Bombyx mori: one gene and its partners. The protein of the gene in region 3 purifies or fractionates together with the protein of the main gene of each other region. This does not show direct contact. Links are inferred from orthologs where the notes say so. Each region holds a gene or a part of one and is shown on either strand. Other genes may lie near its edges.

The links. The genes of interacting proteins can lie anywhere in the genome.
Region 1: the proteins of syntaxin-18 (region 3) and protein sly1 homolog purify together in Homo sapiens (affinity purification with mass spectrometry; 5 studies listed by BioGRID and IntAct, counting the BioPlex papers as one, with this or other methods). This does not show direct contact. The link is inferred for Bombyx mori from reciprocal best matches to the Homo sapiens genes STX18 and SCFD1.
Region 2: the proteins of syntaxin-18 (region 3) and vesicle-trafficking protein SEC22b-B purify together in Homo sapiens (affinity purification with mass spectrometry; 5 studies listed by BioGRID and IntAct, counting the BioPlex papers as one, with this or other methods). This does not show direct contact. The link is inferred for Bombyx mori from reciprocal best matches to the Homo sapiens genes STX18 and SEC22B.

The regions. Positions count from the first base shown.
Region 1 is NC_085118.1:7,859,706-7,865,777, forward strand, and holds the start of protein sly1 homolog, read right to left. Parts: upstream 4,014-6,072; 5' UTR 3,868-4,013; coding exon 3,840-3,867; intron 3,760-3,839; coding exon 3,600-3,759; intron 3,035-3,599; coding exon 2,733-3,034; intron 527-2,732; coding exon 437-526; intron 1-436. UniProt on the Homo sapiens protein: Plays a role in SNARE-pin assembly and Golgi-to-ER retrograde transport via its interaction with COG4. Involved in vesicular transport between the endoplasmic reticulum and the Golgi.
Region 2 is NC_085121.1:559,028-565,111, forward strand, and holds the start of vesicle-trafficking protein SEC22b-B, read right to left. Parts: upstream 4,014-6,084; 5' UTR 3,834-4,013; coding exon 3,759-3,833; intron 3,590-3,758; coding exon 3,480-3,589; intron 2,431-3,479; coding exon 2,310-2,430; intron 1,553-2,309; coding exon 1,354-1,552; intron 734-1,353; coding exon 585-733; 3' UTR 1-584. UniProt on the Homo sapiens protein: SNARE involved in targeting and fusion of ER-derived transport vesicles with the Golgi complex as well as Golgi-derived retrograde transport vesicles with the ER.
Region 3 is NC_085127.1:13,548,455-13,553,879, reverse strand, and holds syntaxin-18, read left to right. Parts: upstream 1-1,687; 5' UTR 1,688-1,827; coding exon 1,828-2,604; intron 2,605-3,239; coding exon 3,240-3,428; 3' UTR 3,429-3,446; downstream 3,447-5,425. Other genes in the region: cotranscriptional regulator FAM172A homolog, read left to right, coding at 4,005-4,022, 4,102-4,252, 4,549-4,843, 5,279-5,425. UniProt on the Homo sapiens protein: Syntaxin that may be involved in targeting and fusion of Golgi-derived retrograde transport vesicles with the ER.

The DNA of each region.
Region 1 (6,072 bases), on a different chromosome or scaffold from region 3:
CACCCACCTTGAGATACAAGTTCTAAGGTCTCAAGAATAGTTACAACGGCTGCCCCACCCTTCAAACCGAAACGCATTACTGCTTCACGGCAGAAATAGGCAGGGTGGTGGTACCCACCCGCGCGGACTCACAAGTGGTCCTACCACCAGTAATAATCAGTTTGGCAGAGCTGTCTACATAATTTTACAGTCTTCTTAGAATAAAAAAAATGTATTAAATTGATAAAAATTGTATAATTCATTTCCTAAAAACAATCATTCTACAATACAATGCTGAGTTCAAACTCATATTTGATATTGGGTCATAGCATTTATGTAGTAATGTCTGTGTGTCTCTTAATAATTTAGGTAACAGATATATCAGATATAACAGAGACATCAGTTCATTATCTCATAAACAGCTATAATAGTAAACAATATTATACCTACAGCTTACCCATTGTCACAAACACAGAGAACAGGCTTTCAACAATGTTGTCCATGATCACTTCCATTTCAGTGTCCTTAGTATCAGCTTTGTTTATTGCTGAAAGACAAAATAAGCAATTTAAAGTCGAAGAAAATAATACCACTATTTCCTATTACTCTGTACTGTTACTTCTGTTGCATTTCTGTCTGTTACTTCTACTTCTGTTGCAAAGCAGTCACATATCCCTGTCAGAAGAGTGGGTCTGCATTATACAATATAATTGAAACCTCGACTTTGAGAGCAGTTTTCTTTATGTTGTCAATGAGCTCCGGTAAGCACTTATCAGGTGGACCGTGAACTGGTTGGTAGCACTAAAGAAACAGTGCTTGCTGCTGACCAAATTTAGCTATGCCACTAGATCAGTCATAAAATTATTTTACTATTGTGGGAATAATGATGAAAGGGAAGATCTTTCATCAGGCTGGTGATATTACTCAGTAGACCGACGGTCTGAATGTTGTTGTTCGGTACTTGTATGCAAGCTTATCTTGAAAATGTCGTAAACGAGATTCAGGCATATATCAAATATCTTGTGTTGTATGATGGCTGCCTGCCACACTATTATTGATCATAATTAATTTACAGTACAGTGTTTGCCTCATTCGCGTTTTCACTATTCGCGGATCTAATCAGTGCATCGGTACATACACATTGATAAAAAGGATTCCATTATGAAGGTATCGAAACGAATATACTTTGTAAGCGCGTCGTTAAATGGGCTAAAGTAAAATAGACCTTATTACACCTCTACTGAAAGTATGATAATAAAATTAAATGATATCGTCGCTGTATTGGTTCCGCCTTTGACTAAAGCCGCTTTAGCCGCGGTCGACGTTTTTAAGAATGTAAGGAAACAGAATGAAATCAACCTTGTCATTCAATAGGTATTTTCTGTAATCCCAAATATGTAAGTTATTTATCATTCCATATTCACGGTTTCTTTATTGAGGCATGTTTACGGAACATATACCCCGCTTTTACCTTTTACTTTATAAATTGTAATAAAATAAAATTTATAATTTAGATTATATAATGAAGTCGTCGTGGCCTAAAGGATAAGACGTCCGGTGCATTCGTATCGAGCGATGCACCGGTGTTCGAATCCCGCTGGCGGGTACCAATTTTTCTAATGAAATACGTACTCAGCAAATGTTCACGATTGACTTCCACGGTGAAGGAATAACATCGTGCAATAAAAATCAAACCCGCAAAATTATAATTTGCGTAATTACTGGTGGTAGGACCTCTTGTGAGTCCGCACGGGTAGGTACCACCGCCCCGCCTATTTCTGCCGTGAAGCAGTAATGCGTTTCGGTTTGAAGAGTGGGGCAGCCGTTGTGACTATACTGAGACCTTAGAACTATATCTCAAGGTGTGTGGCGCATTTACGTTGTAGGTGTCTATGGGCTCCAGTAACCACTTAACACCAGGTGGGCTGTGAGCTCGTCCACGCATCTAAGCAATAAAAAAAAAAAAAAAAAAAAAAAAAAAAAAAAAAAAAAAAAAAAAAAAAAAAAAAAAAAAAAAAAAAAAAAAAAAAAAAAAAAAAAAAAAAAAAAAAAATTTAAAATTTAATTATCCAGGTTCAGGTTTAAATGTTTAGATGGACTTTATAGTGTTTTCGTGAATGATATTTGTACAGAGTCTGGTTAGTTATGATGCATAGTACTGTGCATTAGGTATGCTTCACAAAGAATTGATTTTAATGACGTTAAAGAAAAATTTGTAGAGAAGAGAAAAGTTTCTTGTATAACATGCACAGTATTGTCAACATGACGGGACAGAGCCATTCCCTATTTTTCATTTAATTTGTCTTTTTAACTGACTTCAAAAGGAGGTTCTCAATTCGACTGTATTTTTTTTTAATGTTTGTTACCTCTTAGCTTTGGACTGGGTGATTGATTTTGATGATTCTTTTTTTATTAAAAAGCTGACGCTTCCCGTGTGTTCCCATTTCAATTTAGTCCAGTTCTAATAATGGTATCCAGGAGAAAACCATATCAGTCTTAAATTTGCATTAAGTATGTGCGCGACAAATAGATGAATAACTTAATAACTCAATATCACACCAACTGATTTCGATGATTATTGTTTTTAGTGTATATTAATTTGTTTTGGAATATATTCTTTTGTCTATTGAAAGGCGGTTTTTGTTAAAGCATGTCTATTTACATTTAAGTGAATTTACAACATCACTAATAATTTACCCCATACTGTGAGTAGCCTACACAGAAAGTATAAATAATATTGTGAACAATCTTACCATAATATGACAATGAATCAGATTGCTGGTGCTTCATTATAAAAAGATCATCTTCCAAACAAATAAAGTTCAAATACTGATCGAAAACTTTATGTATATTGACAGCAGAATTTGACTGGATAGCTGATGCAGCTAAGTCTTCAAGTTTGTGTCTTGTGATTGGTGATATAAAGTTTAAATGGTATTGATCATAGATCCCATTATCGAGATCTTGGCAAATGCGATCCAGATTTTCATCAGAAGGAGAACAGAAATAAACAGCAGGTACTTCTGGTATCGAATCTCGATCTGAATGTAGTTGTCTGGAAATATATAGTTTACATTTAAAAATATTCTTAAGGGAGAAGAAATATCAAGTAATATAGAGTCAACAGCTTAAAAGTACTTTTAACCAGTACAGTCTCGCAATAATTTATTATATTTCTTCTGAATTTAGAAATTCTTTTACAAACTAAAACAAAAGCAGAGCTTATGATATTTAATACAAAAACATTTATATTATGTTTTACTAATGTCTTCTGGGTTTGAAAATAATCCAACACAATTAATTATAATCAGCTGAACTACAGGATCTAGTCTTAAGGAATCATAGGGATCATCTGTTGGCTACCATTACAATATAGATTTTATATACAAACATACAAAATTGGCAAACATTTATGTTTATATTACAATATCATATGTTTTTGATTGGCGTCCTTAGTTTATTACAATTTGGGCTTTGGTATAGCTCACTGCCAGTAAAAAGCATTTTAGTTTTAAAACATTGTTGCTTGAAATATTAAAGAGGCGGTTTTGGGACTGAATTACTGAGAAATGCAGAAATAATGCTAGAGGAACAGCTAACCATTGATTTCAAATACTTACAAATGAAGAGTCACTCCTAGTTCACGCAAATCTTTTACAGATACCAATGGTGAGATAATATCTTGTCCAACTCTATCATATATTAAGATTTTCCACGTCGGTTCATTGGCTATATTCTTTGTAAGCGGCTGATTTAAATTAAGCATCTGTTTCAAGGCATCTGTGAAAATATATAAACAAAATGAAATTGTACATAATTATTTTTTAAAACGACACTACTTAAGAATTCTCAGTTCGTACTAAGTTGGCGTTCTCTTAGCGTAGACATTTCTTATTTTTTACATATGAATTTTGTTTCATAAATTAGTATTTTTTTATTTTAGATTCTGAAAATAATCAATTATTCACGTAGCTGAAAACCTACAATTACAATCAACATGTTACTTTGACACATGTCACAATGACATTTCAGTTTACACGTCGCACATCCGTTCGGAATTTAGGCATTTCATACCTTTAGGGTAGTTACTAATAAAAAAAAAATTGGAACTACATATTTTCGCTACTTTGTTTATTAGTAGTTTATCGATTTTCGATTTATATGAATCCCAATTTTTTTTCGTCTTTTATTGATGCAATAAATCATAACAATATGTATTCAAAATTTATGGAAGCATTGCCAATGTGCTGTTCCGTCGAATAATCGTTCATAAATATCTAAGGACGTGATTTTCGTGACAGGAAATGATAATAAAATATTAATACTGATTTCCCAATTTCATTTGAGTTAAAATTTTGTACAGATAAAGGTACCAATTGTTTAAGTAATTACAGAATTACTACAACGCGTTCTATTAGGTCTAGTTATTTTTGATATTTTATGGAATGTTTTGAAGTACTTAGTACAAGGAACATAAGACAGGTTGTGGCTGAGTGGTTTTGGAAATTCGTTACATTTTTATATATTACGTAGTGAAATGAAAATAAATATACATAGGTCCTGATCGTCATCCCTGTTCCACCATCACATTCATTTTGATGTTAATTCTGATGCTATGCTAATTACTTAGATTTCGTAGCGTCATTTTAGCTTTCAAAAATATATATTATATCGACGTAGGAACCCTCATATGTTTTATTCACATACCACAGATTTAAGATACCTACTATTAGAGTAGTAATCCACATTTGTTAGAATTGTGTTCTTTGATTAAAAATGTATTCGGCTTTGAGTTAACTGTACGATAGTCCGGACAATGTATATATGTGCACTTGCTATCCCGCTGAAAGGTCATCCTTTGAAAACTGTTGGAAAATTGAAACTCCTGTTAGCTTCGTATTTATATTTATTTATTTATTTATTATTTATAAATTTTTTATTATTATTTATTATTATAAAATCAAATGGGCGATGCTTGCCTTGTAGGAGAATGCTTATCTGCTAACAAACGTTTGTATCTATACATAACATAGCATAAAACAACATAACATCTGCTAATATTGCTAGCGTAAGTTAATAAAAAGAAACATATGAATAGAAATAAAACAGCCTTGTGCGTAGTGTATGTCTAGAAGTGAGAGGATGAAAATTAAACAACGGAAGTGATTGCCCTGAAGCGCAGACGTTGGACGGCGAAGTGTTTATTCATATGATTGAAAATAATATAAACGTTGACTTTTGGTTTGCAATCGTATAGCTAATCTACCTATAATTGAAATAATTACTACTGAAACTAAGCGGATGGTTTACAGAATAAGTGAATACGGACATTATTAAAACTACATTTAGGATTTAATTTGCTCGCACTTTTTATTATCATTATATCATTTTCGACGTTTCTATTTTACTTTTACGGTTTTAGTGGTCACGGATGACTGACGTTTGTAACAATAAAAAAAGGGAAATTAAACTGTAAAGTAGTTTAAATTATGTCAACAACTTACGAAAACTTAAGAAAATTAATGTGGACATTTTTATGCTAGAAATCATTTGTACACAAAACTATGTTTCAGCCAACAGTCCACCTTGTGCTAAGTGGCTACTGGAGCCATAACAAGGTGAAGGTCCCTGCGACTTGAGGTCGACGTCTCAATTGTATTGAATAACAGTTGTTCTACCGTCTCAGTAGAAAACTACCCACGAATATGCGTAGCTTAGGTACTTCGATAAGGCTATGCGTTATGATAATCGCCTTATCGTTGCCGCCGCTGATTACTACCCATACCCTACTTACGAAGGAGCCAGTCTACGTTGACGCCCTGGACAGGTCATTACGGATCCAACAAATTCGTTATCCTCAGCACTAGATGTCTTCAGCTCTAAGACAAAGAGCAAGTTTAGGGACCCCGAATTCTTTGCCGAGTTACAACCTAACCCACGCATCAGCCCGCTGAGTTTCTCGCTGGATCTTTTCAGCGGGTCACGATTCCGATCCGGTAGTAGATTTATTTGCAAAGCAGCTGCTCTTAAGTTGTTAGGTCTTCCTTGTCGCTCGGGCGCTCGTGCGCTCGGGCAGATGGTAGCAAATCCCAC
Region 2 (6,084 bases), on a different chromosome or scaffold from region 3:
GACTCATATTAAGCGAGGCGAAAAATAATAAACATGTTGGAATAATAGATTTTGGAAACACGCAATGAACGCGCGTACAAAATATGGGGGTCAACAACCTCATTCAGACCGTACATGGCGGTAGGCGGTGGACGCCTACCACTCCTGCAACATCAATCTGCTCATACGTGATTAATAATAAATAAGAACAATTAAATAGTAATGTTTTGCTATAATTATAATTCACCATCATTGTTTTCGTTTTGAATAATATGTCGTCGCTGTCAAACCAAAATCTACTATGGGCACTTTTTGAGATTTTTACGTTTTGACCTTTTTGTATAGTTCACAGCCTTATCCAAAGTATAAAAAAACTGTTATTTGTCTATAGCTTTAATATTTATCTGTAGCTTTCATTTAATATAGTTCTTAAAAATCCACTTTCATATAAAATTTTATACGAAAATGTTTTTACTCGTTAATTCAAAATAGAGTTTTTGCACATAGCTGATTTTGGTTTGACAGCGACGATATGTATTTGTTGTTGTGTTAATTATAAGTCGCGCTCATTTCCCCGAGACAAACCGTAACTATCATGGAATCATCTAGAGAACCCAGAAGTAAAGCACAATCACGAGCACGATAACGGCTCCGGCGGTCACCTTCACCAGCATCGACTTCGTGTTGAGATACGTGGCGTCCTTCCGGTACTTCTGCGACATCATCGATAGGTTTTGCGTCTTCGTGTCCAGTTCTGAAAGTTAAATCACGTAAAATTGAATAACCATATTCTGGAAATTCACGAAAAAAAATTTTTTTCTCCCACCTATGCTGATAGAGTCTATGTCGGAGCCGGATGGTACATAACTAAAGTTTGACCTCTGAAAACACACTGTGGGTGAATGCAGTGGTTCCAGACAGATATACTACTCGCAGTGGTTAAAGATATGGTAGAACATTGACAACTATTATAACTTAAACGTAAGGGAGGTTGACTAAATAACATATTAAGACCGCAAAATTGTAATTTGCTTAATTACTGGTTGTGGGACTTTTGTGAGTCTGCACGGGTAGGTACCACCATCCTGCCTATTTCTGCCGTGAAGCAGTAATGCGTTTCGGTTTGAAGGGTGGGGCAGCCGTTGTAACTATACTGAGACCTTAGAACTCATATCTCAAGGTCAACATCAGGTGGGCCGTGAGCTCATCCACCCAACTAAGCAATAAAAAAATAAAAAGACAGGTTTTCAAGTGATGTGGTGCCAATTGCAAGACCGGTACATTATAACAATATTATACCCGTGTAAAAATTAGATAAAATTAGGGATGGAGGTGATTTATCAATACAAAAATGGAGAAGATGAAGGCATTTACCGGACAGTATAGCTCCCCTCTGCAGCACGTCGTCGATGTTCTGCATCATGATGCGCTGCACGTCGCCCAGCTGCGGCGCCAGGTGCGAGGCGGCGCCGGCCCGGCGGGCGCGCGCGCCGCCCTCCGCGTACTGCTTCCGCGTGCGCTGCATGCACGTGTCGAACTCTATGAACGTGTACGGACGAGTCACGGTGTTCAACTGTGGACAAACTCATTTCTATAAATAACGCTGTAGTTTAAATATCATTGAACACACAATGCAGAAGTCGAGTCTTCCTTTCGGTTCGGTCTTTAAGAATTCGGTTGATTAACTTGAAATGTACTTAAAGTCACTTTAAGTCGTCGTGGCCCAAAGGATAAGACGCCCGTGCATTTGTATGTAGCGATGCACCGGTGATCGAATCCCGCAGGCGGGTACCAATTTTTCTAATTTCAATAATGATATACGTACTTAGCAAATGTTCACGATTAACTTATGTATTTTTTTTTATCTCAGATGTTTAGTTCTTAATACTGGGATGGTAGACCTATTCTGATTGTTTGTATAATGAAACTAAAACTGTAACTCAAATAATGATGCATTCCAATTTGAATATTGAGATATTTTTATTCCAGAGTAGGTGGAGTCAGCAGGTGCTGTTATTCTTGTTCTGGTATCTACATGCTGCCAGTGATTGATTAACACTAAGCAGCTTCTCAGTGGGTCGGTTTTCCGATCTGGTTTTAGATTCTGCGAAGCACGGCTCTTGCTAGGGTTCGTGTTAGTAACGTCATCAGGCTTGAGCCCCACGAGCTCACCTACTAGTTAAGGCGACGCTGATATAGCCTCTCAAGACTATCAGATAAGGTAGGAAAAAAAAAACTAGATAGACTACAAATAACACCCAATTAAAAAATCTGTTCCTCAGATTGAAACTGAAAGAAAATTTTGTAATTTTAATAAATTAAAAACAGACCCTGTGTCCGTACTGTTGGAAGAATTCCTGTGCTATTTCCTCGAGATAATTGAATGCTAGTCGTTTACTGTAGTTTCTTTCACACAGGACCAAATAACATATGTGATTTTCAATCAAATAACTGAAAAGAGAAATTTTATTTCTTAAAACCATTATTTCACAAAAACAGGCATTATTATCAATAGATTAGAATTATGTAAAATGTTCCTTAAGGCGCCACTGTTTATTTTCATAAGCTGCTCGGTATACTGGTGGCTCACAACAATATTAATTGTGCATGTCCTCATGTGAATCTATTACTAATATTATAAGGAAAAATCAGGCAAACACCCAGCAGTCAATGTGATGTTGACCCCACCACGAATAACATGCCTAAAAGTGTATGCGAACAAGCACATATGGCAGTTTGTGATATTGTAAGGTTACTTAGTCACTTAACACTAGGTGGCTTGTGAGCCTGATCACCCAACCAGTACATGATAAAACTAAATGCATAATAACATGTTTACATTCAGAGTTAATTCCATTGCATTTTGAATTTTAGTAGAACATGTGTTGTACATAACAATATTTAATTGAACATATGGCTCAGTACTATCGCACCAGTCTCACAATAAAGACATAGCAGCTTCCAAGTATATAACATAGTTAGTTTTGCAGCTCACATAATAAAACCTAGCAAAAACTCAAATAAAAAAACAAAACCATACTTAAAAATCATTCTACAAAGCCAATACTTAAAAAGCATTATAAATTTTAGGGGTTTTGTGCTAAAAAACGAGTAAAAGAATAGACAAATAATATAAAATTGTACTTTACAGTCCGATTTTAAAACTTGTACCATATTGATATAATTGTTGATATTAAAATGCCCATAAGCTGTAACATCTCTGGGTTGTTATACAATATAAATTGATTTTCACAATAGTCATATTGTATCATATTGTATGTTGCAAATAAGTATAGTAGTAGCATATGTAATAATATATTACAGGTGCACAATGTCCTATGTCAGAAAGTTATGTCTGGCTAAACATTTAAATGGTGAATTAGGTAAGAAGCTACTGTGTACATATTACTTTCAAAAACGTTTTGCATATAGATTTTTTGTTGGACTATTTTTGTTTAAAATGATATAGGTTTAATTGACATAAATGAACTGTGACTCACTGGAAGAGATACGGGCCGGTTTCAATGGAACATCTCATCGGGGACTGAGGGCTTAATTTCCTAAACAGCATTTTAGCCTGATTCTGGTACTCGAGTATATTGCACCCGCTCTGCAAATCATTACAGCAAATTAAATTATAATTACAACAAACAAAAATAATAAACAAAATTGCAATTTAAAAATAAAAATACTAATACATGAAACAAAAAGATACGAAAGAAATGTATATATGACGAAATATGTTATCATAGAAAATGATTATAGAGCATTCTAAATACCTGCTCATCCTCTTGCATAGTGGCAGCCAAAGGCAGCCCGTCGGCGACTCTTGCAATCATAGTCATTAACACCATATTTAAAGTTAAAATGTCTCTCACTTAAACATAAAATTTATGTAATTGAGTTCAACTTTAATTTAAGGTTTTTTCCTTCTCATAGTTTTGAAAACATGAAGAAAACTCAATAGGTTCTCAATACCACGACAGCTGTGCTTACACGTCAAGTGGACTGACATGACAACAACACGTCAACTAGCAGTGTTACCAATCAGAAAGTCACACTTTGGACTTGCTATTTTACGTGAAATTATTGTCTTTTCGATCCATCAAACTATCTACTTGTGGTAAAAAGAGTACACATATTACTTTTATTTTTTATTGCTTAGATGGGTGGACGAGCTCACAGCCCACCTGGTGTTAAGTGGTTACTGGAGCCCATAGATATCTACGACGTAAATGCGCCACTCACCTTGAGATATAAGTTCTAAGGTCTCAAGTATAGTTACAACGGCTGCCCCGCCCTTCAAACCGAAACGCATTACTGCTTCACGGCAGAAGTAGGCGGGGTGGTGGTACTTACCCGCGCGGACTCACAAGAGGTCCTACCACCAGTAAGAATTGAATTGAACTTAAATTTTTTCAGTACACTTTATTACTAGAAGAAAAGCTTTTTTACTAAAACAGGTTTTGTTTATAAGACAAAGGGAAGATCTTGCAATGAGCGGGTGAATTGCTTGGTAGACCAACAGTCCGAATATTGTTGTCCGGAATTTGTATAAAAGTATTGAAACTTATCTTGAAAATGTCGTTAGCGAGACTCAGGATTCTGTAAAATATCTTCGCATTCTCTGATAGCGGCCTTTTGGGCGGGAAGCGAGGAGTGAAGTTGTGTGATTTGTTTTATTTTGTCTATTTAGTGTTTCTTCAGGTTTAAATATGTAATAACGGTGGTTTATTGACTGTTTAATATCTGTGAATGTGCACAAATGTGGGAAAATCAAACAAAGCCGCTGAACGTAACTTCTCGGGATCCTCCAAAAAGTCCACTGAAAAAGTCTCAGTAAATGACCAACCACCATTTTACTGAGATTATATTTCATACCATATAATCTCATCTCATTTAATTTAATTTCATCCCAGTTTAATGTCTCAAATTAATCATCTTCATTTCATTTCATTTCACTCCATATTATCATTTTTCATAAAAATAAGAATATAAATTAAAATAAGACATGATTTAAAGGTCTTAGTTACCAGGTCATAAAATCCCATAAAAAAATCTCTGATAGCTACCCGTTACATAGGTGTTAATATCATGTAAATTCGGATACGAGAAGGTAACGGGTCTAATCAAATAAATAACGCAGTAAACTCCGTATTTATTATAAAAGGCTAGTCTAGCTGAGCAAGGTACCAGTGACAGCATGCTGGTTGCTTCTCTGGTGAACGACTCCCGGGCAGCAGCGGCCGCGGCATTTGAGACTGTTGGTAAAACAAATGCATGCATATGTCGTCATTGGGTGCTTTGCTGAAGTCCGAGGCCCACGCGATGAAGTGGATTAGTCTATTAGCCAGTAGCCAGTCAAGTACAGTACAAGTACTATGCCATGTACAGGACTGGAAACTGAACGGAACAAGGCTATGTGGATTGGGTATTTTGATGAAGTATTTGAATGGATTAGGACTAGATCGTACTAGTCGTGATTGATTACACACACTCATAGAGAGGCTAACACTACTTATAATCATAGGTAATCTACAATATTAACATTGGCAACTGTATTAGGAGTGTTATGACCAGCGTTAAGTTTACAGTTAAGTGGGAGATTCTTAGAAAGTTGGTGTCTTAAATAATTTTCAGATAGGAGAATATAATACATAAGGTTCAATTAATTTATACCCAAATTTTGGCAAAGAAATTTAATTATTAATCTCAATCAAGTAATACCATGATGTTTGGTTATAGATTGCACACTAAATGACAAACTATTAGCGTAGAAGATAACTCAAATTCGTATGGATTTGGAACGTTTGCCTACGTTCGCGGCTAGGGGTGTTGTTCCAACTGCAAATGTTGAGTTAACTTTTACGCTATGGAGAACGTTAAAAAACTCGCACTAAGCGCACTGTAGTAGGTTGCGGCTCGCATGTAGGTATCGCCACCCTCGGTCAACACTCCAATAGATGAGCCATAGGATAATAATAAATAAATAAATAAGTATCATCGACAACTCAATAAAGCGTATTTTTAAATTTATCTCGCGGTATTTGTTTTTAAATTTTAGACTTCATAGGATAATTTCTATAGTAAGCTCAAATTTTTCAT
Region 3 (5,425 bases):
ATCTTATGTTTGGTTAAATCAAAACAAATAACTTTTTTGTATTCTTTTAGAGTTATTGGATTCTCAACTTTTGAGCCGATCACTTAGTTTAAGTGATTATCTATGGATCATTTCACCACTTGTTTTTCCTACCTTAGCTGATTGTCGAGAGAGACCATGTCAGCGTCACCAGGCTAGCTCACCTAAGCTCACGGGGCTCAAACCTGAAGACGTTGCTAACACGAACCCTGGCAAGAGCCGTGCTTCGCAGAATCTACCACGGGATCGAAAACGCGACCCACTGAGAAGATCCGGCGAGAAACTCAGTGGGCTGTGTCTGTGGGTTAATTTACTCGCCGAGCCCTTCGTCGCGAGCGTCGGGTTCACCAAGAATGATGACCGGTGCTTGGGTTACTTAAAAGCACCGTTAGTGGATCTTTTTTTTTTATTGCCTTTGTATATATATCTTTTAAATCTCTGTCTTCAATGGGTTGATGTTGGATGGTTAAATTTGAGGTGATTGGGTTCTGTAGGTGATGGAGGGCTATTTAAAAACACACTGCTTCATTATAATTATATTGCAGATAGTTTGAACACCATTTTAAAATTATTATCTTTATATTTTTATAAAACTTCTTACATGTTTCTTTGACCGTGTCTAGATTAGAAGTATTGACTTTTTCTTACGAGAATACAATCATCTGTTTTTTAAACGTTTAAAATAATTCTAATATTCGAAATCTGTAATCATGCGTCAAGTGCTGCCTGCCATTACATTTATATTCAAACTCCAACAGTTGAACTGAATTAAATTCAATTCACCCAACTGAACTGAGAACTGTCTAAGCATCTTCATGCTTAGACAGTTCTCTAACAGACCTAAATTTGATCGTGTCTGCTGCACCACGCTCTGAGCGAAGCTCTCATAGCTGATATGTCATACATTATAACACAAATGTGAAACCTAATAAAAAAAAGAAACAAAAAAGTTAAAAATTGTGTATTTTTTCTAAACTTTGAAACCGAGTTTTAAAAAAAAGCAAGTGTTCAAATATCAGGCATGTACCTTATCTATTCTCGCCACAGTGAGCAAAAAAGTGCCTTAACATAGAAATAAAAAAATATATTTAAAAAATCATAACTCGAAAACTATTAAAAATCGCGGAACGTACATGGGGGTGGTTCGGATAGCCCTAGTGATGTTCTACCTCTGGACTTCGGCTTGACACTATTTTTTAGGGCACCCTGTATAAGCGACAGAAGCTTTATAGAGTGGTGTAACATTTATTTCTGTCTCTCTTCCGTCTCCATTCGATCTGAAATGCTTTCGGCTACTGTAAATTTACGAGCAAAAGACTTCAGATCAGATTGTGTATAATAATTTTTTTAAGGGATTTTATGACCTGATAACTTTCTTCGGATGTACATACTGACTTTTTATTTTTTCACATAAAATTATACGACTAACTAATTAATGCTAGGCAACAACTATTCTTCTTAATAAACTTATGATGGTTAGATGGTTGGATGGCAAGAAGACCAGTTCTAACATGAAGAAACACTAAATAGACAAAATAAAACAAATCACACAACTTCACTCCACGTGTTCCCGCCAAAAAGTCCATGTAGCCATCACAGATTAAAATATTTATTACTATTAAAATATTTATTACTACTTAAAGCCATGCTTACTTTGCCTTTTCAATTGGATAATTTTAAAAAGAGAATTTGGTTAGTGTCTACTCTGTGAGGACATTATTGATTTGTCAATTCAATTTGTCAAAAACGAGTAAAACTTACGTGTTATTGAAGGAAAAAACATTTAAAACATAAACAAATCCTCTTAAAATGGATATAACACCATTATTTAAGGCTTGCATAAAAACTGTTAAAACTCGTAACAAGGCTTTCGGCATACACAGTCCGATTAGCGAAGATAAGCAACGCATATTGAGGGTGAAATCAAAAAATGCTTTCATGGCAACAGCTAAGGATATTTGTTCACAAATTACAAAGCTTAGGGACTTTTTATTGGAACACCGCGATAAATATTTAAGCTTCTTCAATAATGTTACTGGAGACGATATGTCTGATGAAGAGCGCGACCAAATAGACACCGGTGCGCAACGTATCATGAACACATGCTCACACCTGCTAAAAGAGTTCAGGAATGATAATCGAAGAACTACAGTGACCCCACAAACTAGGGAATATATGGACTCAGTCGTAGATTTAATTGATGCTTATTTAAAAGCTGTTTGTAAAGTGCATAGTGAATTGAAAGCAATGAGAGTTAAGCGAGCTTTAGATATGAGAAAATTGTCTAGACTTGAGCTACCAGCGACCAAATCTAGTATTCCTAATCCGTTTACACTAGATAAGGTAATAGAAAAAGAGAATGAGACAGAAGATGAAAAAGAAAATACAAAAACAAAATTAGACTTATCAGAGAATGAGATGGCAATTATGTCTGATGAAGGAGAGTTGACTTCAGAAGAGTTGCAAATGTTTGAGTCGGAGAATGTACAGCTGTTAAATGAACTAAACAGTATGACGGAAGAAGTTAAACAAATTGAAAGCAAAGTACTACACATTGCAGAACTTCAAGAAATATTTACTGAAAAGGTAAAAGGTTAAAATTGAATAAATACATAAGCCATTTAAAAAAAAAAACAGATTACAAGAAAAGAATATCTGCCACCAGAGAGGATGAATGTTGTTTATTATAGTCTGTGTATTATATCTTTATAAAATTGCACATACTGGTACATACATATCATAACTATCTTGATCTTAAAATATTCATATTTGGATGTTCTTTCATACGTAAACTATTGGATGTAAATAAATTTTTCAAATCCATGATACTTTAATTGATTTATTTAGATTCAAATTGATATTACTGTTTGTAAAAGTATAATTAACAGTAGCGGTTAAGAATATCTGCCACCAGAGAGGATGAATGTTGTTTATTATAGTCTGTGTATTATATCTTTATAAAATTGCACATACTGGTACATACATATCATAACTATCTTGATCTTAAAATATTCATATTTGGATGTTCTTTCATACGTAAACTATTGGATGTAAATAAATTTTTCAAATCCATGATACTTTAATTGATTTATTTAGATTCAAATTGATATTACTGTTTGTAAAAGTATAATTAACAGTAGCGGTAGGCAGGTAGCTTTTAATAATGAGATATACAAACAGTTTGTCTGACATAAAATGTAAAAAGTGTAAATATGTTTCAGGTTTTACAACAAGAACAAGACATAGATAGAATATCGAATACAGTTGTCGGGGCAACTGAAAACGTTAAGGATGCCAATGAACAGATTAAGCAAGCTATACAAAGAAACGCAGGCCTAAGAGTATATGTTCTGTTCTTCTTACTGGTCATGTCGTTCAGTTTGCTGTTCCTAGATTGGTATAATGATTAAATTTAGTAGTTACTGGTGGTTTTGTGTTTCATTTTCTAAATAATGATAATTTTACAAAAAAAAGGAACAGTTTTGATGATAATAAAATGATCTTAATTGAAATTTTGGAATCAATGATGTTAATATTTTCGCTTTAAATAAACACGTTTTATCAGAGGCTTCTTATGTTTTTTTATGTGAATACGCAAATATTTCACTATCGGTTATATAAAATATACACTATTATTGCTAGAGTTTCGATCTATACTTTAGCCAAACATTTTTTTAGTTGTTTAAAATACAACTATACATATACTAACTAACTATTATACTTATGCTACTAACTTTAACTTATATGAATCTTAGTTGATAACATGAGAAAATGCTGTTAATTAACGTTGTACCATCTATATTATTTTAAAAATACCACTATTTTATTAATTTAGTTACAAATATAACTTCGGTTTTTTACCAGTCGACTAACTTGGCTGTATGTGCTATTTTCTCTTGGACTATCTATTTAAACGTCAAAGTCCAAACTGTCAAGTTCCAACCCCGGGACCTGGGGATTGTTTATTTTTCAGTTTCAAGACCTAGATGCATATAAATTCAGCTGTAATAAAACATATATCAATGTGTTTCCCTGAGGTGATCAATACTGCAGGATGCGTACTTACCACCCTCTCTGTTGCAGTTCATGAATGTAATTCGCGCAGTACGCACGTCGATATCAAAAGTACGACTGCGACCTCACAGAAAGTCGATTGCATCTAGTGCTAATAAAGTGCATTACAAAATGGAGGGAACGAAAACTATGAAGGAACTGGGATACATATTTGATTCAAGTAACATTCTAAATTTTTTATATCATTTAATTAGTGCCTCCACTTATGAATAGGAACAATAAGAAATTTCAGAAATAACTTGAAAACAGGTACAGTTAAGTGTATGCACGAGACCCTCTTAGTGCCAACGCTTAAGGGTGGTGATAACCACTTTCCATTAGATCCATATGTTCATACCAAGGCAATTAATATATGTTGTTAGGGTATTACTTGTAGATATTAAATGCTACACTATTTTCTAGTTTCACTTTTAAATTAACAATAATATGATACTTAATGCTTTTACTACCAAACAGATGGTCAAGTAAGAAAAATTGGAGCTGATGGACAGCCAACAGATGAACCATTCCAATTTGTTGTGAGCAATGATCACCAGGAATGCCAAGCTCATTATGAAGAACTTGGCTCAGCAATCACCAATTATGTTTATGATATTCTTCAGACTCAGATTGGATTGCAAAAGTTACCAATCCCAAAGGATTCAAATGATGGAACATTTATTTTTGTTTCAAAAGATTATGATAAAAAAGATGTTCTGTTAATATTGATTCACGGATCAGGCGTTGTGCGAGCTGGTCAGTGGGCTAGATCGTTAGTATCATGACTTAATTACTAAATTTTGGTTTCAAGTATGTTTAAAATTAAAAATAAATAATATTGATGATGAGATAAAATTCAAAATGCAAATGTTATTTTGAATTTAGACAAGCAAAGCCATTTTTGAGTAGTACTTTAATAACTTTGGATATATAACATGAAACTTCTTCTTAGTACTGAATCATAAAATTAATATAGAAATATGTATATAATGGTGGCTCAATTCCTGATTCTGTTCATTATCCTTGGTTGGTACAATGATGGTATTACCCTTCTGTTCTTCTTTCACAATGGCAATACTCTATTCATCTATGTATTAATATGTACGTAATCAATGCATATTTTTTGTTTTCCCCATGTCTTGTTTTAAAGTAGGTCACGTAATTAGGCCTGCAGTATATTTGTTCTGAAATGTAATTTTTGTCACAGCCTCATAATCAATGAATCGTTGGACAAAGGATCTCAGATTCCGTATATCAAGAAGGCTTTGGCCAAAGACTATGGAGTAGTGGTACTAAATACAAATGACAATCACACAGCAGATGGAAAGACCATTCTCAACAGTAGCACCGCTGA